Linked DNA regions of Coturnix japonica. The protein of the gene in region 3 interacts with the protein of the main gene of each other region in a pairwise test. Links are inferred from orthologs where the notes say so. Each region holds a gene or a part of one and is shown on either strand. Other genes may lie near its edges.

Region 1 (5,450 bases), on a different chromosome or scaffold from region 3:
ATGACATTCTCAACAAAGAATTGATTAAGGGCAGCAGGTTGTGTAAATGCATTTAAGAAGTCTGCGTCCATTGTATTTTTTCACTCCTGGTTACCTGATAAAAGATACAGAGTGAAAGGAAACACAAGTAAAGAAGGCATGAATCTAACAAATTAAGTGTTAGGAAGAAAACAATTGAAAGGGCTTTTGTTTTGTTGGGGTTTTTTAGTTATTATTTAATGACTTATGGATCACTTCTAAAAACAATCTGAAATTAATATCTAAATGTGTATTAAAAAAGTAAGGTTAAAAATAAGCTTCAATTTTCCTGTTAATAATCAGAATGTAGGAAAGGAAGTCCTTACGTACAAAAACTTGCCTTCATTCCAACTAATTGTTTCATCTGAATTAATTAGTAAAATCTTTTTTCAATTTACATTAAAAAAAAAAAAAAGCTTCCGGTTTCTAGATATCAATACATATCAATACATATAAAAATGATCGACACTTAAGAACAATTAAATCAAGAATGCAGTAGTTCAATTAGACACAAGCTTACAAATACAAGCAGTTTCCTTTACTAGACCATCTGGTATGGTTGTATAAAAAACACAGCTTCCTTCTGGGTATACAACCTCAACTTCATGTTAGATTTAGCTGCACAGCTTCTCAACCATTTGTACTTTACACAGAGACTGCAGAATGACCTTCCTACACAGCCGAGCCATCTTTGAATGAAAGCAGAACAGCAGCACACAACACAGAGATGGAAATACCCTGCCAACAAACAATATTAAAGGCAGGCTTTTCTAAAATGGCTAGGAGCAGTGCAGGACAGCAGAAGGCAGGGAATGGAGCTGTGGGAGCAGGGATCTGTATAACCCTCCACACGTCCTACCAAACTGAAGTTCACTGCCACCAGCAATGATCTATGAAGAAGGGTCTGGCAAAGATGTCTCCTAATGTTCTCCTCTGCAGACTCTCTCAGTGTTCATTAAAGGCTCCAGTCAAAGTCCACTACAAACATGTATTTTAACACTGATCTTGGCAAGCCACGATTATTGGTAGGAAGTGGCAATTAAATACTTTTGTATATCGGTCTTGCAAACAAATTAGATACAAAATGCCCAGAAAATGACCAAGGAAAAAGAGTCACAAGGCAATTACTGTCATTACGGCTGCAAAATTGAACACTGTCACTAGAAACGTGGATAATAAACTAAGATACTTAAGAGAAATTGAGTCATTTAGTGCCTGGGAAGCAACTGAACTATCTAAGATGAGGCTGTCTAGATGTGACAAACTAGGAGAAAAGAGGTAATTAGTACAGAGAAACTCAAGTCCAACTTAAATTAGGTTTCTGGCACTTGTTTTGCCTTTGACAGTTTTACTCTAAAGCCCTATGTAATAAACCACAACTTACCAACTCAACTTCACTGCAATATTCAACTTGCACATCCCTTGCACTTCCTTTGGATATTTACACATCAAAATAAGGCATACTGCCTGCCACATCCTTTCATCTGTTTGTCAGAAAGCTACCTTTAATATTTGGAAGCCTGTAGGAAAGGGTCTGAAATTAAGAATTCACACTAGCTAAAGTTAATGCACTCCAAGGACTAGGTCTTGTGTGTCGCACTTGGTCAGAATGGTAAAATGGCCATCCTGGGTGAGACAAAATGTCTCACCCGATATCAGAGATAATTTGGATGCTGCTTGTCCCTTACAGCACCCAAAGTCAGATGCTTAGGGAAAAAGAAAACAAAGCAAGCGTTCACAAGTTACTTCCCTAACACAATCTCACAAGCTACAATACCCTGCTGCTCAGCCTTTCTAAACCAAAACTGGAGTCCTAGTGATTTGGTGCTGTCAGAATATTTAGTTCTCATGAACTTCCCAGCCCGCCCATGAGCTTTCTCCAATGCTACCACATCCTATTTGAATTGCTAGGAAACAGAACTGCACGGGTTTAGGATGGTGTCCGCAATACCCTCTGCATTGTTCTGCATGCCTTTCCTCTAATTCCTATCATCGTTTGCTTTACTGATCACTGCTGAGCATTGAGCTGACACGTGAACAGAACTGTCTATTAAAACTCCAAGATCTTATTCCTAAATACCAACACTGCTCTAAGCCCATCACTTATCCGTAGAATCAGTACTGTGTTCTCCCACTACATGTTTCACTTTGCGTTCACCTACACTGATTTCCAAAAGCCATTTCGGAGGCTAAGAACTGCAGCTCCTTAGCATTTAATAGACTCATTACTCGTTACTAATAATTAGCGCACTTCAGCAGTCTCTTGTGACAAGTCTCATTGCTGTGAGGCTTGATCTTAGGTAGTGGCCTTTCAAAAGATAACCTGCTGCAGAAACAGCGTGAAACAGAACAAAATGGGATCTGGACTCCTCCTTGGGTTTAATTGCTTAATGAGAAATTGGAAAGGATGGGAGATTTGATTCTCACCTGCAAGTTTCCACACTTCCCATAGCGCTCAAGTTCACTATCCAGAGCTGTTACTGACAGGCTATTTTTCTCTGGCCTCCTGCATGAATTATTTATCACTATTAGGAGGAGAGATCATTCTAGGAGACAACTGTTTGAATATTGATTGCAGTGGCATTTCACAGTGGAATTTCTTAATAAAATTGAGCTTTAACATTGTAAACTATTCAAACGAAATGGTTTTATGCGGTCCTTCGTTCTCTTTTACTGAGATGTCACAGCTTGTTCACTTTAAAAGCTACAGCTGTTGTATTCCTATTGCACCACCTGCCGTGGTGCCGATGAGTGAATTTTTTGCTAGGCCGAGAACTGGACTACATTGCATCATGCTGCAATGTAACGACAACAGATAAACCAACTCATTCTTTTAGTGAGCCAGTTCAGCTCACCTCACTTCTCACAGTCTTCTCACAGTCTGACATCATCCCTGATGTGTGATATAAAGCACTGGTGAGAGGACCGCGGTCCTCAACATCAGAATCGACGGTTGGATATACACAAGCACTCACCGACGTTACCAAATTGTTTCAATTGCTGAACTTCCTGTCCCAACAAGACAAAAGCCCTGCTCTGCATCAGCACAAGCACATTTCCTACGAACAGTTTTCTAAACAGATCACACAAACAGGGAACAAAGCCCAGTTTTGATGGCTGGTGATACTACTTCTGCCTTCAAAAAAGCAGAATAAATCAAGAGAGAGAACATGCGCCATGCACCCAGCTTAAAACTTACTTTTGCTTCCTTGCTCAGTATCAGGCTTTTCAAAGAGCAATATTTTGTCATTGGCATCAGAAGAGACACTGTCTCAGCAAGAACAATCCATGCGAAAGCATGAAGCTCTACAGCTGAAGAAAACAACACCAAAACTCCCCCTGAAAGAGTCCCAAACTTACAATTCAATTCTTCAGTATTTCTCCTGAAGCTCTTCAGACAGCAGCGCGATGCAGTTGCACAGGGGCTCGGTTCCACTGCACAGGGCAGCACAAAGCACGCACACTGTGCGTGGTGGAAGCTGCACCACTCCGCACTGACAGTACTTGAAAACGAAAGCAGAGTCATAAGCGGAACTTCATTGTCTGCGTGCTCAGTTCCTGCTGGTGACTGCAATAAACAGAAATACAAATGCAGGAAGCATGCATCCTCACAACTCCTGAAATGCCAGAAAGTATTAAGCAAGGTACTGTCCTTGTTTCATAGCACCACATCGTTTGCTAGTCCACATCGCTGCATGTTTTCTTTGCCTTTAATAAAAGATCCAGTGACAGATAAAATCATCATGGTACATTACACCTCTTACTCATGGTCCTTAAAGCTTTTTATAAGGCAGATCAGCACTTTTCTTCCTACCTGGCAGAAGGGGGACCTAGGCAGAAGGAAATGAGCTCATTTGTCCTTGGACAGCCAGTTAGTCACACCAGTGCCCCAGACGCTCATCTGGTACAAGCGTAACCTCTGCTAAGCAGATCTGATACTCTGCCTCTCCTTTTCTACCAGTGATTAAAGAGGAAAAGCTCTCCACAGCCATTGCTTTCCCTGGACATCTTTTCCAGGTATCACTTGCAGTTGTTAAGTCTTCCAGAATGAAAAAGCAATAGCTCTGCAGTCCTCAATGAAATCCCAGAACAAGACAGGAGACAGCCACGCTAATTAAGCCAGTCTGTTTTAACACTATTAAGGGACTGACTTCTGTGTTTAGCTCCACACCATAGATGAGAACTAATAGTTCTGCATGAGCTAAATAGGATGAAAGAAAGTGAGATGAAAACAGACTCCCAGGTGTTACGGATTCTTAATAACGGAGAATTTACCTCCAAAACTTCAGTCTCCAAACCTTTCTAGAGTGGTGAGGTCCTGGAACAGGCTGCCCAGGGAGGTTGTGGATGCCCCGTCCTTGGAGGTGTTCAAGGCCAGGTTGGACGGGGCCCTGGGCAACCTGATCTAGTAAAGGTGTGTGTTTGGTGGCCCTGCCAGGCAGGGGGGTTGGAGCTTCATGATCCTTGAGGTCCCTTCCAACCCGGAATCATTCTGTGATTCTGTGTGATTCTGTCTAGTGGTCGAAGTACAAACTTAGCATATTCTCTAAGCAGAAAAAAGCACATTTCATCAGCTCAGAAAAGACTAAGAGTACGTTCTATGCTATGTAGGAGTGCATGCCACAGCCCAGAAATGTAGGGAGTAAAATCAAAAAGAAGTACTAATGGAAATGCTGTACTTCTGAAATATAGTTTCTTATCAGCAGGCAGAGGGAGTAGGAACAACTAAAACATGGGAAATTGATCTGTAGTTATTAGGTCACTCCCTGTTTCAACTAGCAACTCATGTTTCTTTCTTAAAAGCCTCAGACACAATGCAGAGAAAGATAAGGCAAAGGACAGTCTCAAATACACATGGAGGATGGGCATATTTTTCTTCCAAAATATCATCAGCAGTGCATGAAGCATCCAGTCTTCTGCAGAACTACACTAGTAAATTCTGTGCCAGAGCTGCATCTTGTCCCATGAGTCTTTCCATCCATTCTCAAAGCACGTCTCATGCACACACCTCAGCTTCTTAGAAAACAGCCACTGAAGAACAATCCAAGGAATTGGTGGTACCCCAACCAATAACAAGTTCTGATCGTGTACTTTCCTGCTCTCCCAGACTGCTTTGCTAGGTCTACATGGGTCACCACGCATTTAGGACCCTTGATAAAGCAGACAGCTGAAGCCTGTTATCTTTCTGATTTGTCCACTTAGCGAAGAAAAAAAAAGATGTGGAAAACCATGTGATCATCATTTATTTATTTATTTGAATAAATAGTACAGCAGTCACAAAACCATGCACAACACTCCTGCTGTTGTCTTTAGCAAACATAGCATTGCATTGTAACTTGCTTACAGTACACAACTCTTGTCACACGTGACAAGTCCGGAATTTTATTTGCAAGACTAGTTTTTAGTAAGATATCAAGAGTAAACACTGTTAA
Region 2 (5,338 bases), on a different chromosome or scaffold from region 3:
GGGTAAATGCGGAACATAAAAGGGACCAGCCCCAGGCTCTGACCTGTCCTGGGCAATGGAACGGGCTGAGCCAGCCCCCCCATAACCCCCCCAGGACCGGGCTGAGAGCAGCATCCTCCTCTAACCCCCACCTTGTTGGTTGTTTTTTAAGCGTCTGTTAGCCCATTTGTCCCTACGGCTGCATGCAAGATACGGGGGGGAGGAAAAAAATGCGGTCTTTAAAAGATACAGTGAGGAACTTAATTATCGTGGCGATGATGCGCAGATCCGCGGACAAGAAAAACAACAACTACGTGACACTACAGCTTAACAGAAAGGAAAAAAAAACACCCTGAGAAGTCGTTCGTTTCCCCCCGCCCCCCCAAAATTCCCAGCAACCAACTGCCCAACGACCACCCCTCGGCCAGCAGCAGCCCCATCCCGCAGCACCGAGACTCGCATCCTCCCCATCTCCCCCCGACACGGAGCAGGGCGAAGCAGCCGAGCCCGGCTCGGGGCCGCCCCCAACCCCCGCCCTGCTTTTGCTGCAGTTGCTTTGCTGCAAAACCCCCTTCTTGGGGCTCGTTCCGGTTGCCCTGAATGAGCTTATTTGACAGCTTAAAAACAAATGATATCGAGGGCTCGCAAATCTGCCCCTCCGCCCTCGGATCCAGCCTCTCTCTCGCTCCCTTTTCCCTGTGTCCCCTCTGCATTTGAATCCTTCCACTGCCTACACTGTGAGCCAATGCCAAGAGCCAAGGCAACCAGCGCTGTTACATGAAAGAGTTGCTTTATGTCTGCTTAAACTGCAGTGTCCTATTCAAATAGACCTTATTGTTCAAAGGCACGGATCCAAATCGAAAAGGATCACAGAACAGGGTACCACACTTGACAGCTCTATACATCGCTTCTCCCTTACACAGCCATCCACCTCGGCCCCCAACCCCCAGGCTGTAGCCGGAGATGCAACTGGGTTGCTGCACACAGCAGAGCACAGCCGAGCCAAGGTCTGGAGCCCCGCACCGGGAGCAAGCAGCCAGCATAATCGAGTCATTGAGGAGACACAGTCCCACTTTATTCCTGGGCAATAACGCCATACCTATTGCAAATGAAGGGCTCCCAACTAAGCGTGGCCCCACACCTAGCAACGAAAGCTTACTCTCTCTTTAAGAATAAAAAGTATTTATTTGCTAAATGCAGTGTGATGAACGTAGAATCCATCACCATAGCCAACATCTATCACTGCAACTCATCTCTCCTCCCTGCCCAAACAGTGAACTTTGAGAACCCGAGAGCTTGGCAAGGGCACATAGAACAAATGCCAATACCAGGCACAAACCCCAACCCATGTCCCTTGGACTCTCCTTTCTCTCTTCCCCCCAATGAAGATCACAAACACAACCCTTGGTGATGAATGAGGAACCACAGAACCATTCACACTTAGGGAATTATGCCAGGAATTGAGAGAGTTTCACCACTAGTCATCCAGCATAGGAATGCAAAACATCTTACTAACTACCACATTTTACTCTTTCTTAACCATATCATCACTATTGGTAGGGAGAAAATAACATTTATCTGGGCAGAGGCATGAGTGAGCAGAGCCATGCGCTCTTTGGAGCTTCATCACCTGCGCATTAAATGGAAGAGGCAAAGCTCCAGTACAGAAAGAAGGGGGCAGGACAGCTGAATGCTGACCCTGGAAAGACAGGGATCTAGTTTATGAGAGGGGAAGCTCCCAGCTGTGCCAAGGACAAGCAGATATTTCAGTTATCAACTGCCAGGACCTGGCGTTCCGTGGTTGCCACGGCTCTTCTTTCCGTTTGCCATGTAAACAAAACACCACTCAAGAAGATAGCCTGGATGCATAGAGGCTGAAGGATGCTCACCAGCATAAATGGGTTTGCAGCCCCAGCAGTGAAATCAGAGGGGCCGTTCCCACTGGGGCCATACCCACGGCACATCTGGATCCACGACAACACGCCCCAAGACGGGCTGGACAAGGCCTGCCATGAGATCTGGAAACGGATGCAGAGCCCCCCCGAGGAGCTTCAGCCCATCATCTGCATGGACCCACAGGGACCCCCATGGAGCAAGAACGGTGCCCACAGCGGGTGAGTGACCACCAGCACTGCAGGACAAGGGGCTTGACTCCAACAGAGCCCTCATAACCCCTAGAAACAGAGAGCTGGAGCACAGGGGTGCTGTGTTGGCTTTGGGCAGCCTCTTAATGGGACAGAGTATCCCCATTTGTCCCAATATAACCAGTCTTTTTGGGAGAGCTTGTCCCATGAAAGCCAGCTACTTGAAAATCTGAAGCACCACAAGCAGCTGCTGCTTTTGCTTCCCCACAACATTTAAAGCAAAACAACTACACACACATCAAAATATTTACAGGAAGAAGTGAAAGCAGCATTCAAAAGGAACAAAATCGAAAATTAAAGTGTTATAAGGAAGCTACTGTAAACAGCTGATCTTTACAAAGAGAAGCTGAATTTAGCACAGAAAAAATTATGCCAAATCATGTTCTGCGGGACAAATGGTGATAAGGGAGGGAAGGATGCTCTTCAGATTAATGGGATAATATTTACTGTATGCTCCTGAAGTAGAAAAAGAGTGAAATTTACATGTCCAGCTATCAATCAGCAAGTTATTAGCTCGTGTCCACTTCTTAAAGCCTAAGTCACACATCTTGCCTGATACAGTGAAAAACAGCTGTCGTATCTTTTAAGACTAACATCACAGATTGAGAAAGCTGATAATTCGATGCTTTTAGCTGAAGACGTGGAGGATCAGAAGGGGAAATGCCCTATGCTGTGTCACTGTGAAACCCAGGGAGTACATCTTGGAGCCCTGACTCCTTTCCTTTCCCTTCCATATCCATAACAATAACAGTAATAACTGGCCTAGAATAAATGCACAAAGTGAAACCAAACAACCCAAGAATAACCAGTGAAGCCAATGGACTTGCACTGGCCTACAGCAGCAGGTCAACTTATGCTGCTGAAACATCTTGACAATTAGCACAAGCTCAGCCACGTAACTTGGTCATGCCAGCTGCTTGGAAGTCCAAGCAAAGAGATAAGGTATAAACCACTGTGAACTATTAAACGACATAAGCAAAGCCACCATTAGAAATATATAGGTTCAGTTTTTAGCAATTAATCTAATGCAGTGAGAGCAGCCCACCCTGCAGCCCACCCTCACGCCACTGTAATGGGGTTGAGGAAGCAGATAAGAACGATTTGGGACAACCAGCAAGGACCTGTAACAAACTCAACACCTCCAACTAAGATGAAATTAAACAGCCAGCAAAGCGCAGTGGCTAAAGCACCTTCCTCAGGGTCAGAGAAATGATTCATTGTTCTCCTGCTGATCTTTGAGTTACTTTGGGCAGCTGCTCTGACCCTTTCTGCCAGCAGCATTTCCCTGCATTCAGCAAACAGGCTCTTCAGCAAAGAAGTGCCCTCAGCATACACTCACACAGTGCAGTTCATTGCTCACCAGCTATTCAAAGACACCCCCCTGAGTCAATGAACCTTCCAAAAATACCAAACCTGAAGCAATGAAACCAAATCGCTGTACAGAATTCAAGGGAACTTCCTTAAAATCCCTACAGGTGAGGTCAGGTGTCCACCTCCAGCCTCGGAGGTGGCTGCAACCACCAATGGAGAGAGGAATCCCAGTGAAAGATGGGATAAAGCATTGTAGAAAATAAGCTTTCTTTGGAAATGACAGCAATTTTCTATTTTTATGCCCATAGTATAGGTTTGTTGAGGATTTTAAGGTATCTGTTCTTTAAAAATAGGGAGATAAAGCAGCATCCTGCCAATTATGGTGATCCTATGATTAGAGATAATTAGCTACATTTAACTATCCAGATTTCACTAATATTAGCAATCCATTTATGTACTATATATGTATCTGTACAGTGCATGCACAGAGCATCACTTCCCCTCAAGCTGAGGAGAGTAAATGGATGATACGTTAAGTTATTGAACATACCTGGCTGTGAAAGAGCAACGTGGAATTTAAAGGAGGATTTTGAGTAGGGAACCACTACAAACACTGAGTTGTGCCTTAGAGACACAGCATTGTTCAGCCCTGGCAGCCACCCCACTGTAAGTCCTAGAGGACTTCATGGCTTCCAGTCTGAAACGCCATCACCCAACTTCAGTTATTCCCAAATAGGTGTGTTAAGTTCAGATTTTGTTTTAATTTTCCCATTTTATGTGGTTCTTTGGAGAAGAACAGTGTCCTGGAGGTAGGTTTCATTCCGGTTGAGAAGGAATACTCGAGGCTTAAACGGAGCATAAATGAAACAGAAATGCAAGGCATAGAAGCAGTCAAGAAAATGAGTTCAATCTAATGTCAAGCTCTCAACAGAATCCCTATATTTCACATTCTTACAGGGACTGGTTGCTAGATGAAACAGAGGGACTTGAGAGCATATACAGAGCAGTGATTGGAAACAGAGAAAGAGAGATGAAATTAAGAGCTCTCTGCGATGCTCAGCTTTCTGCTAAATCCACCATCACCAACCTCCTGCGTTCAACAAGCTCTCCCAGGATCTCCAAGGGGTTGGGGGACAACAGCACAACAGGTGCTGGTAGCACAGAGGGCAACAAGCTGGGGATGCCATTGCTGCTGAAGCACACAGATATTGCCAAAGGTCCAGACAGGCAACTCATGGCTGAGGAAAGCAAGACAATGAAAGAGTTCTTCCAGAATGGCACTGTCAGTGCTGCAAAGAATAGCACAGCTGTGCCAGCTCTGATGGCAGAAAGTCAAACTGCAGGACAGAAGCAGCAGCTCCCAACACTTGCCAAGATTTGCTCCAGACCTGACTCCAATGCAGCCACAAAGGCACTGCAGAATCCAGGTATGGATCAGGACACAGTTTCTTCTGTGCTAATTTCCTGGTCTCAGATAGTTTTGTTCTTACAGAGCTCAAAACAAGAATCTTTTGCCCCATTCCAGTCATTCTTACAGCTCAGGAGATTAACTTCATTCCAGGTCCTGTGGGTTGGGGTTTAATGGCCTTACATGTGAATCTGATCTGCTCATTTCTAAGCATGGGTCTCCAGAAATACAGCCTGCAAAAGCATCTTAAACACTTTGCTCACAGGGAGTGCATCCCCTTAGCTGCAAGTGCTTCATGGTTTAATGAAGGGAATGCTTAATTATCTTCACCCTTGTTTTGTTTTACAGTAACTACTGCAGCACTGGATAAAAAAATAGTTATATACAATGCCAGCACTTCCAATCCACACTTTCCCGTTACTACAACCACCACAAACTTAAACCAGCCAATGTGGCCGAGTCTGAGCTTCCCTCCACTTCCTCTATATCCAAACCA
Region 3 (5,355 bases):
GGTTTAGCTGGGGCTTAGTTATCAGCCACCTCTGATCTGCTCAGCAAGCCACTTTGCCTTCCCCCAGAGCAGCCGGGCAGCAACAGCATGGCCTGCTCCCCCCCCAGCTTATCCAGGCCCCAAAACACAGGCCCCCACCCCACAGCCCCTGAACAGTCACTGCAGGACTCAGCCTGAGGGGCAGCACAAGGACGGACAGACAGACAGACAGACAGACAGACAGACAGACAGACAGACAGACATCATACTGAGGGTGCTCCAGCAGCTCCCTCCCTCCCCACAGCCCTCCCAATTAATTTCTCAAGGGAGTGGGAGGAGCCCATGAGCCACATTAATTAATGAGGCAGAGGAACCTGGTCTCCAGGAACCATATGGAGGCAGTTTTTAATGTTCAGCCATCCACCACTGCCTGCACCCGGCCAGAAGCAGCTGGGAGTCACGGGAGCGGGGTGAGAACAGAGTCCAGTTTGTCTGCAGCTGCCCCACAAAGGGGACGGACAGACAGACAGACTGACCCACCAGTCCCAGCATGGCCTGGGGGCTGAGCTGTGGGCTCCAACCTCTCCTGAAGGGCTCATCCTGCATGGAGCAGGCACGGGTGGGGAGGAATCAGGGCATGGGCACCCCAGGGCTGCTTATAGAGCCTCCAAGTTGGGTGGTTTGGCAGTTACCTCCTGTGAAAGGTAGGGCAGAACCTGCGCACAGATCCCATTGAGCCTCTTGACAATTTCAGCCTGGAGAGGGGAAGAAAAAGAAACCAAGAAACAAACAACAGAGAGGAATAGTGTGAGGGGACCCACAGCACCTGGTTTAGGCAAACACTGGGAGATGGCAGTGAGGAGCCACGGCTCAAGTCCTGCAGCTCAGCCAATAGATTTCCCTCCCGAGGTGATGGGATCAGAGGCTCTGGGTGTGTTTGAAGGGAGCAGAACGGCGCTAAGAGGCTTTGAGCTGAGCTGGGACACGTTCAGATAACCGTGACCGAGAGCTCAAGGAGCTCACGTTGTGAACAGCAGGTAATTAACCACTGCAGATCCTGAGCAGCTGAACCACCAGCAAGGGGAACAGGCAGACTCAGCCAGGCTACAGCAGAGCCTCCACCACGAGGTGCCCAGCACTGACTGCACCCAGCCCAGCTCAGAGCCAGAGCACCCCCAGCCGGGTCCCCCCTTCCAGAAGGGTTTGGAAAAGCAGCTCATGGCCACAATGATTATTTTTTTTTCCCCTCCCTGCATGAAAAGACGTTTTTATAAGGTCATGGGGTGGAAAAAATGTGAAGGTGCTCCCCAATGCCAGAGCTGGAGATCCCAAAATCAGTGCTGACGTTTGACATCCTGAAATGCCACTGAAGGGACAGAAGGCACAGCAGGCAGCCCACCCCCCCCAATACCTGTTTGTGCATCTCAATATTCAGCCCGTAGGACATCTCGTAGTACTGCGGAGTGGGGAAGAAGAGAACAAACAGACACGATGAGGACTCCAGCATGCAAAGAGACCCCCACATCTGTACCTTCCTGCTGCCCCCAGCCCAGGTGGGACCTCAACTAACCCAGAGCCCACTCAGCACCTTCACAGAGCCCTGGCATCACAGGGAGAGCTCAGTGCTCTGCTGGGAACAGGCACAGCCCGGCTCTGTTTGCTGTGCCTGGCCCATCTCCTAACGCCCACGTGGCTGCTCCGGCAGCAAATGGAAGGGCTCAGCCCTGTGCTCCAGCTGCACACAGCTCCAGCTGCTTGGGAAGGAGCTGCAGGAAACACACACGCAAAATAACCCACCCCCCTCACACAACAGGCAGCTCCAGTGCAAGCTATTGGCACGGGAAGTCAATTCCTGAGCACTCCAAGTTTGCTCAAGCAGCAGAGCAGCTCTGCACACAGACAGCAGCTCCCTGCTCACACCCTGCATGTCCATCCTGCACCCACCGACCCAGCACACACACAGGGTGCAGAGCACGAGGAGCTCTGTTTGTTTGCACGAGGAGCCCTGTGTGCACGAGGAGCCCCGTTTGCACGAGCCCAGCAGCAGCAGCACCTGCTCCCCACCCACGCGCTGCCCCGGCAGCTCCTCACCATGACGTAGTGACGCTGCATCTCCGATTTCTCGCTGGCGAGTTTGTCGCATTCCAACTTCAAGCTGCAAAGGCAGAAAGCAGTGAGAGAAGCAGCAGGGCAGCGGGTTGCATCCTGGGTTGCATCCTGCAGGGTCCATCCCAGCCTGTTGTGTGCCCAGTGCAGCTCAGCAAAGCAACCAGATCCTCCTATACTGGGGAAGCCCAGGTGCAGTGCAGGCCTCTGGAATGATGCCTTTTCCCCCTTTCCTTTGGGTTCTTTGCACCCTTAAGAGCAGACGTGCTGCTCGCTGTGCTCTGTGCAGCTCCCCAGCCCGGCAGCTGCAAGCAGCATGTGCTGGTTTTATGTTTCAAACAAGAAACAGCTTCACCTCCACCAAACCTGCTGCTCTGTGAGCAGATCGGGTCCTGCAAGGGGGGGCCACAATGCTGCACGATGCAGAGCTCGGGGAGGTGGGAGCAATAGGGAAAGGGCAACACACGGAGCAATGGTTTGGTGCATGCGTGCAGCTAGGAAGCAAACAGCAAGAGAGCCCATCGGCAGCCAGCTTTTGGGTCAGCAGAAGCCATTCCGCAGGCGGAAAAGCGGAAGCATTTGGCTTTAAGTGCTCCCTGCAGCATTTGTGAGCCAAGAATGGCAGCCAGCAGGGAGAGGGGAGGAAAACTCCCAGCGAGAGGAGGGAGGGCTGGAAGAGCTGCACATGGATGGAGGGATGGAAGAGCTGCACATGGATGGAGGGATGAAAGAGCAGCACATGGATGGAGGGATGGAAGAGCTGCACAGGGATGGAGGGATGGAAGAGCTGCACAGGGATGGAGGGATGGAAGAGCAGCACATGGATGGAGGGATGGAAGAGCTGCACAGGGATGGAGGGATGGAAGAGCTGTGCATGGATGGAGGGATGGAAGAGCTGCACAGGGATGGAGGGATGGAAGAGCTGTGCATGGATGGAGGGATGGAAGAGCTGTGCATGGATGGAGGGATGGAAGAGCTGTGCATGGAGTCCTGCATTGGGGTAAGACCTGGCTGTGGGGGAGGCAGAGCGTTCTCCTTCCTTCTCCTTCCAGAATCCCACCTTTTGGGCAGTGAGCAGAGCGTTCCCTGCCTGGATTGCAGCTTTTGGCCAACTCTGGGCCGAACTGCGTGGCCAAAGGAAAGGAAGGCAGCAATGGGTGCACACCGGGCGTCCCCCCCCCCTCCTTGGGATGCTCACATCGGTCCTCCAGGTGGGACCTGGAGGTGATACCGGCCTGGGGAGGCTGAGCCTGGGGGTAAACCTGTGCTGGGCTGGGAGGGCAGCGCGTCGTGCCGCACGGAGCCCATCTCTTGGCCACGCTGCGTCCCGGTCCGTGCAGGGCAGCGATGCCAAAGCGGAGGATCCCAGCTCCGGGCGCACTGCGGACCCCCCCGGGATGCTCGGGGCGGTCGGTGGGGGCGGTACCGGCACGTACCTGTGATACTGGGCCTGCAGGAGCTGGAACTCGTCCTTGATGCGGTCGCACGAGTCGGAGGTGGTGAACTTGAGCTGCTGCGGCAGGTGAGAGGAGCCCTTGAACAACACACACAGCGCTGCACACCCAATGGGGGGCCCGCAGCCCTGCCCGCCCCCCCACCGCAGCCCGCCGCCGCCCAAGGTCACCCGCACCCCCCGCTCCGGTTCCCGGTGGCTGCGGGCGGGCAGGGGGCGGCTCTCGGTGCTCCCCCCCGTCCTTCCCTCCTTCCTTCCTTCCTTCCTTCCTCGCTCCTCCCGGTGCCGCCGTACCGAGTGTCGGCTTTGTGGAAACATCATGTCAGGCTGCAGCCCGTTCCACCGCCCGCAGCGGTCCCCTCGCCCCGCTCCGCTCCGCTCCGCTCCGCTCCGCTCCGTTCCGTTCTTTCCCCGTCCGCCTTTGTCCGCGCCGGGCCCGGCCCCGCGGCCGCCCCGCGCCGCTGTGCCCCGAGCCGCCGCCTATTGTCTAATGGCGGCTGCGATCCGCTCCGTCCTGCGGCTGCTCGGCACCACCTGCCGCCCCGCCGCCGCCTCCCCGGGCCGGGCGGGCCCACGGCCGTCTCCGCCCCCGCCGCGATCCGGGCGGTGCGGGGCGCTCAGCTGCTCCCCCCCCCCCCAATTCCCCCCCCCCCCCCCCCCTCGCCCCCCCCCCCCCCCCCCGGGATCGGGGGGGGGGGGGGCGCCCAGCTGCCCCCCCCCCCCCAATTCCTTCCTACCCCCCCCAGCCGTGATGCTCTGCCCCCCCCACGCCCACCCATCCCGACCCGGTGCCGCTCAGACCCCGCTCCGTGGGACCCTCCGTGGGTCTGGGGTCTGCGCTGTGTCCCAGAGCCCCGCACCTGCTGCGGGCATCGTGGGTGCGAGAAGGGCTTAGAGTGGGGTCGGCCTTAAAGGGCATCCAGTTCTCCCCATCACCATATTGCTATCAGGCAGGTAAAAGTCACTCCCCCTCCTCCCTGTAAGCCCCCTCCCCAAGTACTGGAGGGCTGCAGTGAGGTCTCCCCGGAGCCTCCATGGCTGCTCCATCAGCACGTTTCCATAGCAGAGGATCTTTGGTGCTCAGAGCTCAGAGCATCCCACAGCCTGATCCCAGACCTGGATGCATCACTGCAGGTGGGTCCCCACAAGGGCTGAGCAGACGGGACAGTCCCCTCCCTGCCCTCTGCCCCCCCATAGTTGCAGCGCAGGGGGGTCTGTAGGACCACCACGACCACAGATCCCAAGCTATGACCATCCAACCACTTCCTTACCCACCAAACAGCCCACCCTTCAAACCCACCTCTCTCCTATTGAGAGAAATGGGCACAGTGTGGGGCCGTGCAAAGGCCCTGCACAACTGCAGCCTGTGCCCTTCCTTTGTCCACCAATGCCATCAATGGAGGCCACCAGATGGGCCAGACACGTCTGCCCTTGGCGTTCCTTGTTCACCTATTGCTTATGGTTCTTGATGTGATGCTGCAGGAGCTGAGCACCCCAGCAGTGTGGAGCTCACCATCACAATTTGGGGCTCACTATCACAGTACAGGACTCACCATTGCAATATGGGGCTCACCATTGCATTATGGGGCTCACCATCACATTGCATGCCCCAGTATCACAGTGCAAGGCTCACCATCACAGTGCAGACCCCACCATTGCAATGCAGGGCTCAGTTTTTGACTTGCAATGCCCACAGCAAAGCATTGCTTCTTCTCTTCTCTCCTTTGCTGGAAGAAACCATGCCCAGAGCAGCACCTCAGCAGAGCCCCATCCATGGGCAGAGGCTGCAGTGCTCCAGTGAGCAGAGAAAGGCTGCT
Region 4 (5,372 bases), on a different chromosome or scaffold from region 3:
TCCACAGTTTGCAGGTTGTTAAACACTCACAGTTCAGGCTAATGCACTATTTCTATGGAAAAACGCTCATGGTTTGCCAAGAGCACAGCATGGCCTCTCTTCAGGTCAGAAATAGCACCACGAACTCACTGCTCTTCACCCAGGCACGAAGTCCACAGGGATGCATTCATGTTCTGCAGGTAATGCCAGCTGTCAGGTTTGCTGCCAGCAAATTCCCAGCTCACCACAATCTGGTCTGAGAAGCAGAGAGAGCTATCAAAACTTCAAAACATCTGATAGCAGCTGGAATAGATCTAAGCTTGATCACAGAGCAAAGCAGAGAGGCCATAAACTCAAACACCTGGATGTGATGGGGTATGTACTAACAGAACTCCATCCTTAGCCTTGTCCAAAAAGCAGTAAAAATGGCCATCCTAAGAGCTGGGCTTTCAAGATCAATGCAACTACTACAAAGGATATATTTTAATAGTCCAACCAATGTGTGATTTTATCACTGTATGCAGAACTATGAAGAGTTACCTCGCTGCTATGCAGACATAGCTTGCTACACCTCACTAGGTCAGCTCCCAGCACCAAAGCTCAGCACACACAGGTTTACAGGCAGCTCCCATGTGCAGCAGCACGGACCGCAGAGCAGCAGTGCTCCAGCACACAGCCCTCTAACAAACCCTTTTGCCAGGCACTGGAAACATGAAGCAAGCCGGTGGTCTGAGGTCTTTCAGGTGGAAATTGTTTCCTGCTCCAGCAGGAAAAGAAAACAAAAAGGAAAGAATCCTGCCAACAGCTCTGCTAAGAACCATGAGGGTCTCTCCAGCCTTCTGCTGTATGCCACTTGTCCTTCCAACTGGAACCTGGGCTTGGAGGTGTGTCTGCCAATCCATCTGTGAACTAATTCATCACATAGAAGTGACAACAGGAACAAATTTGGCCTTCTAATTCCACAGTCCTACAACAAAAATTCGTGTATGACGTATTCATTTTCCTTGTTCTTTCTTAAATTGTGCATTCAGCCTCACCTTGTCGCTACAGGAACCTGAAGCTGTCAGCTCATCTGCTGCACAGCCCTTAGTCCCACAAGCAATGTTCCTGCAAAGCTTGAGCACTTTTACATCTGAAACTTGCTGTGTCTCATGGATACAATAGCTAATTTTGGACTTACCCTACTCCTGCTGGGCCAGAGTCATCGCTGGCATGGCTCCACCGTAATTCAGCCTACTGATGCATTACAGACAATGCACACCATGATCTAATCCTTAATGATGTTTTTTCCCCTTTCGCCTCCCTTCAACATACTTACTTACCTAACTAATAAAACAAGATACGAAGCATTAACTTTAAAGAAAATACTGAAACCACACTAGAATTGTCCTGAAAATGCTAATTTGGAGTGACAGGGTGACCAGATTTGTAGATACGTCAGGACAAACAGCACAGCCCAGAGGAGAGGACACAGCCCAAAGTCACAGACCTTGCTCCAGCTTTGCCACCACCCCCATTCTCCGATACCTAAGTATCAACCCCTCACTGTGCTGCTGCTGAGGGCCCAGAACAAAGTAACTTAACAACCACCACTTGCACCTTTGTAATGCCTGTATTAAACAATACCAAATGTACACAGGAAGTGTTACTCTAAAAATCTAGTACTAAGACCAAAGGAGCTGGTGTCAAAATATGCTGATACTCCCCAAGCAGCGAGGTTTAGGACATACAGGATCCAGACTCTGCATTACAAGTGGGTATGAAATGTTATAATTCCTGCATGGTTTTCTTATAGCTGAGCACAGTCTATGAGAAGCATTAGCTTCTGCACAGCAGGCTCTTCCAGGACCATCTCTGGAGGTGATAATATTTACGACTTGTGACATCTGCTCGCATTGTTACTTATTTTACAGCTTCACAATTATTTTGCTCAACTGAAGCATCCTATTGCACCCATCTCTTTGCTTCCTTTGAATCACAAAATACCAAACTCTCCCTCCCTTACGCTACAACACCTTGTTGCTAGTAAAAGAATCATCCACAGGCTTCATGCTCTGTTCATCAGCAATGAGGCACAGTACCAGAGTCATATCAGCAGGGCTGCTCAAGTCATTTTCTTCTTCCGAAGAGGTATTTAAGGGAAGTGGTTTAGATAGGGCACTATCTGTGAGGGATCCACACTGCTTACCAAGAATTTCAAAATAGAGGTTATATTACGTTTGTTACCAGGGGCAGCTCTGCACGCGTAGCTCCCTTCTTCAGCTAGAAGAGGAAGCCTGAATAACTCTAACTAATAAAGGCGAGGGGCTGGTTGTATCAGTGTAAAATCTCAGCCACGGTCATTCAGCACTAGAATATCAGGAGAATTCTTTTTTGTTGTTGAAAAAAACAAAAGCCAGAACAACAGAAAAAAGAAAAAGAAAAACAAAACCCAAGCCCTACAGTCACTGGAAGAAAAATTTCAGAGTTCTAAATGCCCACATTTCTAAGCTACTTGCTTCACTTCTTCATGCAACAGATGCTGCTTTGTATTAGCTACTGCATATTAAATCATTCTGACAACCAAGAAAGCATACATTTGTTTGCGCGAGAGAGGAGCATGAATACACACACACAGCTATCTTCTCACGCAGAAGCACACAATTATGCAGCATTCAAATATTTGGAATGAACTTTGGCCCGTGTTTCAAACAACAACCAAAAAAGTGCCCCTCAAACAACGACCAATACCAGCCCCAGCAGTCATCTGGCCCCGCACACTGAAATCAACAAACCCTCAGCAATAAAGCACCGCCTGTGGCCAGCTAGATCTGAAAGTTACGGGCAGGATTTTCCTTTGATGGGATACTTACACACACGTCCTTCATGATTTACAATGGGCTCAAAGAGCTCAAAATGAAGGCTAAAAATAAAATCTACGTTAACACAACATTTAGTATGTATGCACATGGGTTATATTCACCCTTTGGAACAATCCCCTTCAGCAATGCCATTTGTGTTCCCAATCTAAAAAGCGATTGGAAAACACACACACAGCAGGGCTCTCAATCACCTCTTCGTCTGTCCAGCTAACATGGAAACAAGCAAGCGACCCAAACAAACCATTTTGCTTATAGTTTATCAAAAATAAACAAATCTTCCCCTAACAACGCCGGAGAACACGCTGAAACTTCTGACCACGAGTACCCACAACACGCAGAGCTGTTATCCACAACTTTTTCTCTTCATCTCAGCCCTATTTTCTGCCCTCATCCCCTCGCACTTTCTCCCTCTCCCGTTATTACACAGCGCTCCCACCCGCCGCCACTTTCTCCTCCGTGTAACCGCACTCTCTCGGATGGGCGCAGCGGGCGCCCAGGCCCGTCGGCCCCGCCGCTACCTGGGGATGGTGATGCACTTGGTGTTGATGTTCTGCGTGGTGATCGCCTTCTCCAGCTCGTCCAGCTGCCCCGTCTTCTTCAGCTTCTTCACCAGGCTCTTCACCGCCTTCTCGCACCATTTCTCCTCCTGCCCGTTCTGCTCTCCTTTCTTCCAGCCCAGGAGCCGTTTGACGATGGGAGGGGTGAACGGCAGGATGGAGGACATGCTGGCTCTGCCGGCAGCGCCCCGCCGCCCCCTGCTCCGCTCCGCGCCGCGCAGGCCCCGCGGGCAGCACAAAGCCCGGCCCCGCTCCGCTCCGCTCCGCCGCCTTCAGCGCCTCGGGGCCGCGGCACCAAACTTTGCCCGGAGTTCGCCGCCTCTCTCCGGCGGCGGCGGCGGCGGCAGCTCCCTCCTCCTCCCCCTCCTGCCCCGCTCTGTGTGCGAGGAGAGGCGCCCACTCCAGCTCATTCCCAGTCTGTCTCTCATGCAAATTGCCTGCTGGCCGCCCCGGCCCGGCTTCCACCCCCTCCTTCCCTCCCAAACACGCTCACTCACGCCGCCGGGGGAGGGCGGGGAGGCGGCCGGCCCGCCGGGAACTCCGCTCCCCCCTCCTCGCTCGGGGCTGGGGCCCCTCGGCTCTCGGCTCTCCGCTCTCAGCCCCGCTACGGCGCCGGGAAAGGCGTCCCCTGAGCGGCGCGGCCTTCCCACCTCACAGCGCGACCCTCAGGGCCCCCTCAGCGTGGGGACCCTCAGCCCTGGCTGTTTTCTGTGGAAAAAGGAAGAAAAATAACACAAACAAGTGCCGCACGTCTTTCCACGCAGCTGAGCACCGCTCAGTCAGCCTTGGACAATCAGCAGTTTCAACTCCTTCAATTTACTGTTCTCTTCCTTCATCCTCCCACTCTGCAGACTGGGGACCCGAATAATTTTCGCCCTGTATCATCTCCAGTGTGTCGTTTGAGCCTGTTTACCACCAGACCTGGTCAGAAATTCTCAGACGGAACATTTTGGTCATTGAGCCGCTGTGTGTTCAGCTCTAGGTGCTTTGCAGAGAGGCTCTTGTTTTGCACTAACTCAGGACGGCATCCAGGTGAATGCCCAGCTCCTCCCTTTCCACTGCTGGGCAGACAGGGCCGCTGCCCGGCCTCCAGCATTGCCCCCTCATGCTGAAAGGGAGCCCACCCAGATACAAACAGCAGCTCCTCAGTGCTCCGATCCTGTGGTAAATCGCCCCAAAACGATGCTGAGCAGCACACAGCAGCCTGGGGCCACCTGCAGAGTCACCGGGTGCCTCCACCGAGGCCAGTTCGCTTTTCTGCGCTCCAGCTGCACGCAACAGCCATCCAGGAACAGGGGGTGAAAGTTTCAAGGCCCAAATTCTGAGGTTTTGAGTTGAGAAATGCTTCCCAGCTTCCTCCATCCTCCCAGACGGGATGATGGGGAGCGGAATCTGGGAAGCCTCCGGGGCTGCTCGGCAGCTCCCAGACACCTACAGCTCTTGCCAACCCACGTTCTCCAGTTCCAGGTTCCAGTACAACCCAGTGGGGAGACTCCTCGAAAGCCAGCATCCAAAATTCCCTGTGTGTACAGATTCAAAGCAGCCAGCTATACGGATTGCCTTGTGGCAAGTTAGGAACCTATGGGTTCAGACAGCGTCTGATGCTCAAAGGCAACTGGCCTGACTTTCACAAGGGGTTTAAAAACAGACAGTGCCCTTTGTTCCAAACTGACAGTACCAACTTCTGAAATATCAATATTTGGTACAAATTAAACACTCTTTCTCCATCATTTTTTTCCCCCATTGCTCTCATATTATTCCCAACACACATTCCCCGAGTGTCTTGAATTTTGGAGGCTCACCACTAAAATTTTGGAGCATTGCCTTGACCCAGTTTTTGGCTGCTTCGATTGGGATGCCTGAAGTACAGAGACGTGGAGCCCCCATAGAGGATCCCAACATTGCTTGGGGAAACAGTTCCTCAGCACCTCTAAAACAATGCAACAAAATGTTGTCACTAATAACTCTAAGAGCA

What was found.
Region 1: the proteins of TLE family member 5 (region 3) and PARVG interact in binary tests that used the Homo sapiens proteins (3 or more experiments, as listed by UniProt). The two-hybrid records come from large-scale screens. The link is inferred for Coturnix japonica from reciprocal best matches to the Homo sapiens genes TLE5 and PARVG.
Region 2: the proteins of TLE family member 5 (region 3) and C23H1orf94 interact in binary tests that used the Homo sapiens proteins (3 or more experiments, as listed by UniProt). The two-hybrid records come from large-scale screens. The link is inferred for Coturnix japonica from reciprocal best matches to the Homo sapiens genes TLE5 and C1orf94.
Region 4: the proteins of TLE family member 5 (region 3) and SMAD3 interact in binary tests that used the Homo sapiens proteins (3 or more experiments, as listed by UniProt). The two-hybrid records come from large-scale screens. The link is inferred for Coturnix japonica from reciprocal best matches to the Homo sapiens genes TLE5 and SMAD3.

The regions. Positions count from the first base shown.
Region 1 is NC_029516.1:63,626,965-63,632,414, reverse strand, and holds the start of PARVG (gamma-parvin), read right to left. Parts: upstream 3,565-5,450; 5' UTR 3,379-3,564; intron 95-3,378; 5' UTR 72-94; coding exon 1-71. UniProt on the Homo sapiens protein: Plays a role with ILK in promoting the cell adhesion and spreading of leukocytes.
Region 2 is NC_029538.1:4,085,798-4,091,135, reverse strand, and holds the start of C23H1orf94 (uncharacterized protein C1orf94 homolog), read left to right. Parts: upstream 1-1,774; 5' UTR 1,775-1,860; coding exon 1,861-2,093; intron 2,094-4,391; coding exon 4,392-4,861; intron 4,862-5,190; coding exon 5,191-5,338.
Region 3 is NC_029543.1:644,013-649,367, forward strand, and holds the start of TLE family member 5, read right to left. Parts: upstream 4,086-5,355; 5' UTR 3,860-4,085; coding exon 3,833-3,859; intron 3,620-3,832; coding exon 3,522-3,619; intron 2,135-3,521; coding exon 2,071-2,134; intron 1,436-2,070; coding exon 1,391-1,435; intron 735-1,390; coding exon 672-734; intron 1-671. UniProt on the Homo sapiens protein: Transcriptional corepressor. Acts as a dominant repressor towards other family members. Inhibits NF-kappa-B-regulated gene expression. May be required for the initiation and maintenance of the differentiated state.
Region 4 is NC_029525.1:17,035,760-17,041,131, reverse strand, and holds the start of SMAD3 (mothers against decapentaplegic homolog 3), read right to left. Parts: upstream 3,565-5,372; coding exon 3,359-3,564; intron 1-3,358. UniProt on the Homo sapiens protein: Receptor-regulated SMAD (R-SMAD) that is an intracellular signal transducer and transcriptional modulator activated by TGF-beta (transforming growth factor) and activin type 1 receptor kinases.